3 linked regions of the Mus musculus genome follow. The protein of the gene in region 1 binds, or shares a complex with, the protein of each later gene. Links are inferred from orthologs where the notes say so. Each region holds a gene or a part of one and is shown on either strand. Other genes may lie near its edges.

Evidence for each region.
Region 2: the proteins of Cdc42 (region 1) and Fmnl1 are in contact, whole or in part, in a crystal structure (PDB 4YDH), measured with the Homo sapiens proteins. The link is inferred for Mus musculus from reciprocal best matches to the Homo sapiens genes CDC42 and FMNL1. Residues at the interface, in NP_001034891.1 of Homo sapiens: Val36, Phe37, Glu62, Asp63, Tyr64, Asp65, Arg66, Leu67, Arg68, Pro69, Leu70, Pro73, Lys94, Glu95, Lys96, Pro99, Glu100, His103, His104, Lys131, Asn132, Gln134; in NP_005883.3 of Homo sapiens: Cys45, Met46, Asn47, Leu48, Pro49, Lys52, Leu56, Tyr59, Lys63, Glu66, Leu67, Asp70, Gln71, Phe74, Tyr83, Arg122, Glu123, Glu125, Thr126, Ser127, Leu128, Arg129, Thr130, Asn131, His132, Ile133, Val136, His228, Met232, Arg235.
Region 3: the proteins of Cdc42 (region 1) and Was are in contact, whole or in part, in an NMR structure (PDB 1CEE), measured with the Homo sapiens proteins. The link is inferred for Mus musculus from reciprocal best matches to the Homo sapiens genes CDC42 and WAS. Residues at the interface, in NP_001034891.1 of Homo sapiens: Gln2, Tyr23, Thr24, Thr25, Val36, Phe37, Asp38, Asn39, Tyr40, Ala41, Val42, Thr43, Val44, Met45, Ile46, Gly47, Tyr64, Arg66, Leu67, Leu70, Lys153, Lys166, Asp170, Glu171, Ile173, Leu174, Leu177, Glu178, Pro179; in NP_000368.1 of Homo sapiens: Lys230, Lys231, Lys232, Ile233, Ser234, Lys235, Asp237, Ile238, Gly239, Ala240, Pro241, Ser242, Gly243, Phe244, Lys245, His246, Val247, Ser248, His249, Val250, Trp252, Phe258, Leu263, Asp264, Leu267, Leu270, Phe271, Ala274, Gly275, Ile276.

Annotation. Positions count from the first base shown.
Region 1 is NC_000070.6:137,326,739-137,330,386, forward strand, and holds part of Cdc42 (cell division control protein 42 homolog), read right to left. Parts: intron 2,387-3,648; coding exon 2,277-2,386; intron 2,173-2,276; coding exon 1,975-2,172; intron 1-1,974. UniProt on the Homo sapiens protein: Plasma membrane-associated small GTPase which cycles between an active GTP-bound and an inactive GDP-bound state. In active state binds to a variety of effector proteins to regulate cellular responses. Involved in epithelial cell polarization processes.
Region 2 is NC_000077.6:103,184,636-103,188,283, reverse strand, and holds part of Fmnl1 (formin-like protein 1), read right to left. Parts: intron 2,664-3,648; coding exon 2,555-2,663; intron 1,874-2,554; coding exon 1,797-1,873; intron 1,672-1,796; coding exon 1,578-1,671; intron 1-1,577. UniProt on the Homo sapiens protein: May play a role in the control of cell motility and survival of macrophages. Plays a role in the regulation of cell morphology and cytoskeletal organization. Required in the cortical actin filament dynamics and cell shape.
Region 3 is NC_000086.7:8,088,063-8,091,810, forward strand, and holds the start of Was (wiskott-Aldrich syndrome protein homolog), read right to left. Parts: upstream 2,430-3,748; 5' UTR 2,367-2,429; coding exon 2,229-2,366; intron 1,923-2,228; coding exon 1,782-1,922; intron 1,281-1,781; coding exon 1,194-1,280; intron 1,077-1,193; coding exon 974-1,076; intron 854-973; coding exon 812-853; intron 716-811; coding exon 662-715; intron 1-661. UniProt on the Homo sapiens protein: Effector protein for Rho-type GTPases that regulates actin filament reorganization via its interaction with the Arp2/3 complex. Important for efficient actin polymerization. Possible regulator of lymphocyte and platelet function.

The sequences.
Region 1 (3,648 bases):
CCGCAAGCAACACATGACATGAGCTGACCACAGAAACAGGCTACCAAGGAAGCTTTTATGTTCTATAAAGGTCAGAAATGTGCCCAGTCTCTAATTATAAACTATATTTATAGATTTAGAAATTTTATTTTGATACTAGAAGAGCAAAATCAAAATCTTAATTTTTAAATCTAAACTTAACAGAGATAAAACACAAAGTCCTAGCCAGGCGGTGGTGGCTCACACCTTTAACCCCAGCACTTGGGAGGCAGAGGCAGGTGGATTTCTGAGTTCGAGGCCAGCCTGGTCTACAAAGTGAGTTCCAGGACAGCCAGGGCTACACAGAGAAACCCTGTCTCGAAAACAAAGAAACAAACAAACAAACAAACAAAAAGCCCCACAAAGTCCTAATCTTAGGAAGCTACTAAATTATTGTCAACTGTTAAGGATAATTAAGAAATGCAAGTGAAGGGGCTGGAGAGATGGCTCAGCGGTTAAGAACACTGACTGCTCTTCTGAAGGTCCTGAGTTCAAATCCCAGCAACCACAAGGTGGCTCACAACTACCCATAATGAGATCTGACACCCTCTTCTGGAGTGTCTGAAGACAGCTACAGTGTACTTACATATAATAAATAAATAAATCTTAATAAAAAAAAAAAGAAATGCAAGTTGATAGTAACCTTATAAATAAATGATCAAATCTTTTAATGTGTCCAAAAATATATTTGAGGTTTCTCTATGAATTGACGTAATTACAAGATGAAGTTTTACTTAGCCCCTTGTTTTATGTTTGCAAGGTACAGTTTAGCGCAGATACCTGAAAACAGACAAAGATTGTTTAACTCAGATATGCTCGGTGGGTACTAGCCCTCAAGCCTGTCAGAGACCTGTTGACTATGGCATTTAATATGCTTAAACTTATTATATGACAGTGACTCCCAAATCCTAACAGTGATACACAACCCACCTCTGCAAGTTCTTCAAGAAGATATAGGCAGAATGACAAAAGACTAAACCTGGATTAGAGTACATTGACCAGTGGACAGACTGGCCCCTGCCTTGCCCACTAGGGCCCAGCCTGCACTGTGGGCAAACCGGACACGGGAAAACTTACTGCTATGATTTATTGCTAAGTGTTGCTGAAGACAAGATGAGGTCAGTCTCTCCCATGTTCCTTCTCCACAAAAAAAAAAAAGGCCTCCCTCTTCTGGCCTAATGGCCAAAGACCACCTCTGACCACAGTGCAACAGGACCACAGGAATCTGGGACAACTGTCTAGATAGTGGTCTCTGTCATTCCAGACTGCTCAGAGCACTGGAATCTCCCAACCTTAAACAGGCATCCCAGTCTTCCAGAGCTCTGACATCAATGTCCTAATTTCAACTAAGAAGCAGTTACAGAAGAGATTATGTTGCCCTTATCATAAACAAAAGGTTGAAATGTCAGGGCCAAATTCTGACAGATGGACAAAAAGCCCTCACTCCTCAGGAAGTCATTTCCTTATCACTGGCAGAAGGGACAAATTGCTACCTAGGGTGCCTATTAGCATAACCAAGTGCATGCTGACCTCCACCCACTCCTTACCCTCAACTTCTCCAGCTCAGAAGCCCCCATCCCACCCCACCCCACTCCACCTCCAGCTTCTCATTCCCTTCTATTTCAGCCCTCTCTTGGTCCTCCTCTCTCTTCTTCCTTCAAACCCCACCACCACCATGGCCAAGTCCAGTTTGCTGGCCATGTTCAGTCTATTTTCTCTCTCATCTCTGGATTCTTCCTGATGTCTTTCCTTCATATCTACAATAAAAAACCTTCCTCTCAACTATACCTTGGAATAGTCATGTCAGTTTATGTACTCTGCAGAACTACACTCACACAGTATACATTCACGGACAAATTTTTAAGGGAAAAAAGAAAGAATAAAAGGAAAGAGCCTCTGTATCCTAATGCTCAAAACAACTGACTACAGAGACATAGGTTCCAGAGCCCTCCTTACCTGTGTGAGGGCAGAGCACTCCACATACTTGACAGCCTTCAGATCCCGCGCCAGCTTTTCAGCAGTCTCTGGAGTAATAGGCTTCTGTTTGTTCTTGGCAAGTTTCTCAATAGTAGAGGGGTCATCTCTGAGATCAATTTGGGTCCCAACAAGCAAGAAAGGAGTCTTTGGACAGTGGTGAGTTATCTCAGGCACCCACTAAAAGCAAGGTTTTAAAATGTTTTGTTAATCCACAAGCCACTGAAACTGTAACAGGGCAACAGGAATTCTGTGCATGTTTCAAAGGGCAGAACCTGACTTACCTTTTCTTTCACATTTTCAAATGAGGATGGAGAGACCACTGAGAAACATACTAGAAAAACATCTGTCTGTGGATAACTTAGCGGTCGTAGTCTGTCATAATCCTCTTGCCCTAAAGAAAGAGTTAAGAGAGGTTGGCAACTGAGATTTGGTATCCTCGCGGCATTAAAATCACAGGTCAGGGGCTAAGGCTATAGCTATTTAGTATACAGAGTGATAACCTAGCACACATACAGCCTTGGACTCAAGCCCTATACCACATTAAAAACAGGCATGGTTGGCACAAGCTTATAATCTCAGCACTAGTGAGACAGAGGCAGGAAGGTTAGGTGTGACCATGAGATCATATATCAAAAAAATTGTCAAAGATGAACATGGCGGAGCTAACAAGATCACTCAGTGGTAAAGATGACATGCCTAACAACCTGAATTCAGTCCCCAGAAAACAGACGGTGAAAGGAGAAAATCAAATCCCCCAAGTTTAGCTTCTTGACCTCCACATATACATGCTATGGCATGTGCTTCCACATATATACATACATACATGTAATCTAAAAGGAAAAAAATGGAGATAGTGTGCATGCCCATAAACCCAGAGCTCAGGAAGCAGAGGCAGGAGATCACTACAAGTTTGGGTGGTCTACAAACCAAGCTCCAAGTCAGTCAAAACTACATAGTAAAAGTCTTGTTTCAAAAAAGAGGTGGGCAGGGGACTACAGCTCCGCTAAGACTTCAGGTATTCAGCTCTTAGCATATCAGCCATTAGTGACAAAGCAATTTTGCTAATCAAAGGTATAGCTTTGTAATATGCTGTTTGGACAATACTCTCTGTGCTGGTTCTATTTATATATGCCACTAAATTAAACAGCAAGGAAATTGGCATACTACTTTTTTTTAAGTTCTTTATTAATAACTTAGTAGTAATGTAACAACAATAAATCATTACTACAGGTGTAGTTTAAGAAAAAAATCATATTTACTTCTAGCTACTAAAGATCACAGTGAGACCACCTAACAAAATACTCTACTGAAGGCATCCACCATCCATAATAACTACCAGACTAAGTCCAATGCTCGATCCATAGGTGCATGTTAAAGTCAGTATCTGTAACTGGAAAGGCCTAGAAAAAAGGAACTTGGCAAGAATGAAGGAGATGTAAAAAGAATAAAATAATTAGGAGTTAGCCAGAGGTGAAAGGGTCACAAAATAAAAATGGCAAAAACTAAACATAGGAAGTCCTAAGAAATGGAAAGACATCCTATGCTCATATGCAGGATGACTTAAGATATCAAAAATGAATGAATGAATGAATGAATGAATGAATGAATGAATATACAAATAGATATAAAGATCAATTAATTGATCGATCTTGG
Region 2 (3,648 bases), on another chromosome or scaffold:
CCTGGAGTGCTGGAATTAAAGGTGTGTGCTACTGTGCCTGGCCAACCCAGCTTTTTATGTGGGCTCATGGACTCAGATCCTCATTCTTGCAAAGCGAGTGCCTTATTGAATGAGTATTACTATCCCAGCCCTCCGATGCCTTTTCACCTATTTAGATATCCATCCTAAGGGCCTGCTTCTGTGCCTGCTACATAATCAGCCCTCAGTGAACATCAATAAAAGAATGAATGGACACACCCAGCCCCCTACCCCTGTTTTGAGGCAGTCTGTGCTGGGTTGGTTTTTACTTTGGCATTCCTCCCCCTGCACCCCCCCCCATGTTTTTTTATAGCTTAGGCTGGTCTTGAACTCACCATATAGCCGGTGATGACCTTGAAGCCCCAGTCCTCCTGGCTCTCCCTCCCAAATGCCTGCACCAAGCTGCTCAACTACCTCCAGCTTTAAAGATGATTTCATTGACTGGACATGGTGGTGCACACCTTTCATCCCAGCACTCATGAGGCAGAGGCAAGTGGATCTCTGTGAGTTCATGGCCAGCCTGGTCTATATATATCAAGTTCCGGGACAGCCAGTGCTGCAAAGTGAGACCCTGCCTTAAAACTTTTTTTTTTGATAAATGTGTGTGTGTGTGAGCATGTGTATGTGTGTGTGTGTGTGTGTGTGAGCATGTGTATGTGTGTGTGTGAGCTTGTGTGTGAGTGTGTGTATGTGTGTGTGTGTATGTGTGTGAGTGTGAGTGTGTGTATGTGTGTGTGTGTGAGAGAGAGCATGTGTATGTATGTGTGTGTGTGTGTGAGCGTGTGTGTGTGTGTGAGTGTGTGTATGTGTGTGAGTGTGTGTGTGTGTGTGTGTGTGTGTGTGTGTGTGTGTGTGTGAGTGTGTGTATAGTGGCAGAGGAGGGAGTTTCATGTGCCTGTGTGTACATGCAGAGGCCAGAAGACAGCATGGGTGTCCCCTCTCTCACTCTGCCTATTTCTAGGAGGCAGGCTCTCTCCTTGGACCTGGAGGCCATATTTCCTCAGCTAGGCTGGAAATCAGCAAGCGTCTGCAAGCATCCAGTCTCCTCTCTCTGCAGACTCGGGTTAGAGACTTTGACTTATAACATGGGTGCTTGGATCTGAACTCAGATCCCCACCGTCAGGCAGGGAGCACACTTAACTGCTGCACCAGATTTCCAGCCCTGTCACAGTGGGCTTATTTACCATGTCACTATGCAGGAACCTCCTGTGAGCTTGTAACACTACTATTCAGAACAGTAGCAAAATTGCAGTTGTGCAGTAGCAATGAAATAATTTTATGGTGGGGGGGGGGGGTCACCACAACATGAGGAACGGTACTAACGGGTCATAGTATTAGGAAGGCTGGAACCACTGTACTAGACCATACCCCTGACTAACTAAACCTGACATTCTGAATTTCCCCATCCCAATATCCTGTGTATTTCCCAAACATCCACCCTGTGTCTCCACATGCCCTATCAGAGGAGGCTACAATTTCTGGCAGCCAGACTCCAAGCAGTTCTAGAAGGATGGGGGGCAGAGGGGGAGGCAGGGGTGTTGGGTAGGAAAATCCAGTACCTCCTTGAAGTTGTCAAAGGCCGCAAGGATGATGTCGTGTCCTCCCCGCACGAGACATACAGCTGCCAGCAGCTCCAGTACCAGAGCCTTGGTTCTGAGAAGAGAAGGGGAAGGACAGGGGAGCTGGGGTGGGGTGAGCCTGGGCAGCAGGCTTGACAATGGGGGAAGGAGTTTTTGCAAGGATGGAAGCAGAAAACCAGTTAGGAATATAGGCCTTACCTGGGGCTCTTGTTGTTAAGGCTTAGAGCGATCTCATTGACACAGGCTGGGTGGTTCATAACAAGGCTGAAGCCGGACTGGGGAGAGAGGAGAGGTTAGCACCTCTAGGCAGGTCCCCAAAACTTCCAGCAACTCCCGCGTAGTCTGTGCCATGCTGTTCTGGCCTCTAGTGCTCCAAGCTTAGGACACTCCTCACATCCAGCCATTACCTCTTCTTAAGGAGCCAAGGCCCAACCCTGTCCCCTTTCCAAGGTCATTTTGTCTTGTCAAAAGCCAGTGCCAAGCACTGTGGACATAGCGAGGCTATGCAGGCATGTCCAACCTTTTGACATATGGGGCATATACAAAGTTGTAATCTAAGATGCCGACAGCCATGAAATAGTTACTTAAAAAAAAAAATCACACAAAATCCCATAACGTTTTAAGAAAGTTTACAGAGATGAGGAACCACAGAAGTGGAGCTGTACCAGCTGGCCCTCCCATGGACTCCACTACCCAACCATCCTTGGTCCCATCTGAGCCCCTTGCTTCCCCCTGACCACACCCAAGGCCATCTCAGCAGACCTGACATGAATGTAATCAAACCCAGGGCTTTCCCTCAAAACTTCCCAGCCTCCAGACCCCCACCAAAGCCCAGACCCCAGGCTCGTAGGGTTCCAGGCAAGAGGTGACCCAGGGTCTTAGGACATCAGCAGCTAGCACAGGTCCCAGGAGGACAAGCCATCTCCTGAGGCCCCAATCCCATGCCACCGGCTGACCTGGTAGTTCATGATGGCTCTTAGACACATGATGCACACGTGGACATCATCCTTCTGGCTGACGATTCGGGAATTCCTCAGCGCCTTCCTGCTGTGGGCAGGGGTCAGCCTGGTGGATGAGGAAGAGGCAGCAGGGTCAGACACCCTCCCCACAACCCCCAGCTTCCTGCTCCTCATACCAGTAAGATGCCTTTTGGAGTGAGGGGGATCGATCTAGGAACTCTAAGCTGCTGTCTCCTATCTACCTGACTCAGCTGGCCAGCTGAAGGCTGCCTTCCCCAGGGGCAGGCATGCTGGGGGAGGGAGTGAGGGTGGGCCAAGGAAGCAAAGGCCCTTAAAATTACTTGGTTTTTTAAAAGGGCTGCTGTGAGCCAGGCACAATGGCACATGCCTGTAATTCCAGTATTTGGGAAGTAAGGGCAGAGGACTGGAACTCAAAACCAGCCTGGGCTACATAGTAGGGAGTTTGAGAGCTAGGTTATATGAGAGCCTGTCTCAAAAAGGAAAGGAGGGAGGGAGACAGGAAGTAGAGAGGGAGAGAAGGAAGGAGGAGAGCTTGCAAGTGGAAAGCCCACCAGGGATAGATGGACCAAGCCTGGAAATAGCCAGACAACAGTAATGTCGCCACAAGGTGGTGCTCACAATCACTCAGCCTCATCTTCCATCTTGAGAGGCACACTAAACTCAAAGTGCCTAGATTCAAGAACATTCCAGCTTACTACTTCAGTAAAGTGAATGGCAACAGTAGTTCCATATTGGGGGAGTCGGGTGAATGAGGCAGAGTCTCATGTAGCCCAGGCTGGCCTCCTTTACAGCTATATATCACCATACCCAGCAATAGTAGATACCACCTTTGTATATGCAAGCCACCAAGCCCCAGCTATCCTCCTATCTCCCCAGTACTGAGGACCCAGGTACATGCCGCTGTGCCCAATTTTTACATGGGCGCTAGAGACCCAAACTCAGGCCTGCACTCTGACACAGAAGCACTTTACCCACCAAGCAGTCTCCTCGGCCCCCAATCTGTTCTTTTGAAACAAGATCTCTCACTGGGACCTGGGACCCACCAGTGAGGGTCGGCTGCCAGGGATCTC
Region 3 (3,748 bases), on another chromosome or scaffold:
GAGGTCTAAACAAGGCCTACAGAGCGGTGGATGGATCCCAAAAAAACACTGAAAGAGTCACCAATTCATGTGTCTTTACCATTCAAGTACTGACTCATCCATTCTCTGGCTGGTTGGCTAAAAAGCTTATTAAGTTATTCATTCATTCACACCTAATCATTTGATCTTCCTTGGATAGAATATTCTCTCATCCCACTTTTGTGATTGAATTCTTTAAATGTATATTATGTGTGTGTGCGTGCAAGGCACATGTGTGGAGGTCAGAGGACAACTTTGTGGAATTGTTTCTTTCCTATCTTTATGTGGATTCTGGGGCTAGAACGATGGTGTCTAGGCTTGGTGGCAAGCGCTGTTCCATCTCAGCGGCCCTCTTTGTCCACTGTTCATCTGTTTACATGCCCATTCATGAATTCTCTGAACCACCTATTCATTACTTAAATGCAAGTAAGTTTTCATCCATTTACCCAAATACTCATGTACCTATTTATCTATAAGCCATCATCAGTCCATCTCCCAATTTAGCCATGTCTGCCACCAATCTATCACCGTGCTCATCTGTCCACCCACCATCCACCTCTTTATGAATTTACAGACAGACTCAAGTACTCATTCATCTACTAACCCCCACCATCTCTCCAGTGATGTGAGAATTGCCACTTACCCCCATGATCTCCACCCGGGTGTGGGGGCACAGGTGGGAGCCCTCCTCTTCTCTCTGGAAAAATGGAATGAGTTCAGATCTGCCCTAATCTTGCTCCCCCACATCTCTGGGTTAGTTCTTCATAACCTTTATTTGAACGAGAGGACTCACCCTCATTGATTGGTGCTGGTGGTGGTGGTAGCTGGCGTCTTTCTGTGGTTAAATAGGGTGGACTGAGAGCCAAAACCATGAGAGGGGCTTTTCCAGCCTCACACCCGTGCACTCACCTCTGTCTAACCTACCTCCCCCCAATTCCCACCAAGGCCTCCTTACCTCCGCTTTGCCTCTGATTCCTTTTTTGTATCTTCTCCTGCACCAAGGCCCGGAAGGCCTGGGCTTCACTCTCATCCGCAAAGTTCAGTCCTACTTGACAGTCCTATACATGCCTTGGGGTCAGCAAACTTCTAGTACGCCCCCCACATCCCCGGGACTTTCTCATCTCCTCCCCATCCCCCCCAACTGCAGCGCAAGGATGCACAAGCTGCTCACTTACATCTCCAGCAAAAGTGTGGAAGAACGGGGTGGGAGTGAGATAAACCAGCTGAGAGTACAGCTCCTGTTCCCAGAGTAGCCGACCAGCCTGGAAAGTGGGGGGAGGTGCATGCTGAAATCCAGGCATCTTGGGTGGCAGACCACTGGAGCATGGTGTCCAGGTTTGGTGTCCCGGGGTTTTATTTAAAGCTCTTCAGCTTCAGCTCACTATCAGAGTTTGGGTTCTAGGTGTCTGAGAGTCAGACACCGATATGAGAGATATGGGTTTGGGAGCCAAAGCCTATATGTAGGAGTTGAAGGCTCCACGTTGTGAATTTAAGATTCCAGTTCTAAGAGTATTCAACATGATTTAGAACATATTTGAGGCTGAGGCTCAGGTATTTGTGGAGCAGATCTAAGTCTTGATATAAACCTTCTGAGGTCCGTCTTCTTAGACTCAGAATGAGAAAAACACAACTTGGGATCTGTATTGGTCTTTGGTTCTGGAGCTCAGGGGGTCACTGATATGAGTGAAGGCTTGGAGCTGTGGACAAAAACTGGTTTTGTAAGTTGGGAACTAGCTTTCCTGTCCAGTGGGGCATGGGGTCACCTGTAGGCCATAAAGGCGGATGAAGTAGGACTTCTGAGGGTTATCCTTCACGAAGCACACAGCCCCGCAGTGTTCCATGGTCCAGTGCTCAGCTCCAGGGGGCAGTGCCAGGTAGAGCTGAACAACTGTGGTAGCCAGTGTCTAGGAGGGGAGAGCAGGGGTCAGTGCAGTGTGCTCATGGGTCACCAGGCCTGGTCCTTGCCTGCCTGTGGCTTTCATGAGCTTGGGGAAAGAGCTGTAGCCAGGAGGAAGGGGAGTAGACATCAAGATAATGGGGAGTGAGTGAATCTGAGGAGAGGAGATGGGGAGAAGGGGGATACAGGGATGATGGGAACAAGGAGAAGGGAAATATGGGTAAGAGGAGGAAGCAGAACGGGGAAGAAGAAGTAGAGAGGAAGAAGAGGAGAGGGAGGGAGACTGGGAGGACCAGGAGATCTCCCAACTCACCCAGCATTTTCGGCCAAGAAGCTCAAAGAGTCTCTGGTTTTCATGGTCCTGGAGGAGGTTGGAAGGAATGTTCTGCTGAACGGCTGGTCCCCCTCGGCCCCCAGGCCTGCCTCCTACAGGGCCAGGGCCACTATTCATGCTGCCTTCTGCCTTAGTCCTCTCCAGCTAAGCTCTGGGTGCAGGGTAAGAAGAGGAACTTCCGCAGTGAGCAGGGGAACAGGAAGTACAATAAACCACAAGGGAAATAAGTCCTCCAGGGCCCCCCAGAGGGCCTGTTCTCCTCTCTAGGACAGGCATGGGCCCTCCTCCATTTGCGTGGCTAGATCCAAGTTTGTAATGAGCTCAGGGCATCTTCCTTTCTTCTTTCTTCCCAACGTCCTCTCCCTTTTTGTGCGGGGCCATTTCCTTCTGACAGGCTTAGATCAGCCTTGCTCTAGTCGGACACTGAGGGAGAGCTACGCCATCTGCAGAGCTTCTCCTTCAGGGTAGCTACGCAGAGAGTAGTCACAAGTCTGTGTAGCCTCCTTCCGTCTTCCAAAAGCACCGACTTGGCCTGGGGTTGAATCTAAGGCTCCAGGTGCTAAAGGGCCATTGCATTACAGCTTTTCCTTTTAAAGGCATATTGAGCCGGGCGTGGTGGCGCACACCTTTGACCCCAGCACTCAGGAGGCAGAGACAGGCAGATTTCTGAGTTCGAGGCCAGCCTGGTCTACAAAGTGAGTTCCAGGACAGCCAGGGCTATACAGAGAAACCCTGTCTCGAAAAACCAAAAAAAAAAAAAAAAAAAAAAAAAAAAAGGCATATGAACTAATCTCTAGCTTTGGACGTTGCCAATGATATAGAAGGCCATGACTCACTTCCCCATCTTTTACTCTTGCCCCCTGTAGCTCCCTAATTACTTTCTTTTTCATTTATTTATTTCATGTATGCGGGTACACTGTCGCTGTCTTCAGACACACCAGGAGAGGGCATTGGATCTTCATTACAGATGCTGTGAGCCACCATGTGGTTTCTGGGATTTGAACTCAGGACCTCTGGAAGAACAGTCAGTGCTCTTAATCACTGAGCCATCTCTCCAGACCCCAATTACTTTCTTTTGTAAAATTTATTTTTATTTTATGCGCCTTGGTGTTTTGCCTACATGTATGTCTGTGTGAGGGTGTCAGAGTTACAGACAGTCCTGAGCTGCCATGTGTGTTCTGGGATTTGAACCTATGTCCTCTGGAAGAGCAGTCAGTGCTCTTAACCACTCAACAATCTCTCTAGCCTAAACTCAGACCCCCACCCCTTTTTTGTTTTTTGTTTTTGTTTTATTTGGTTTTTGTTTTGTTTTGCTTTGCTTTGCTTTGCTTTTGTTTGTTTGTTTGTTTGTTTGTTTGTTTTGAGACACGTTTTCCCTGTGTAGAGCCCTGGCTGTCCTAAAACTCACTCTATAGACCAGGCTGGCCTTGAACTCACAGAGATCCATCTGCCTCTGCCTTCTGAGTGCTGGGATTAAAGGCCTGTATCACCATGCCTGG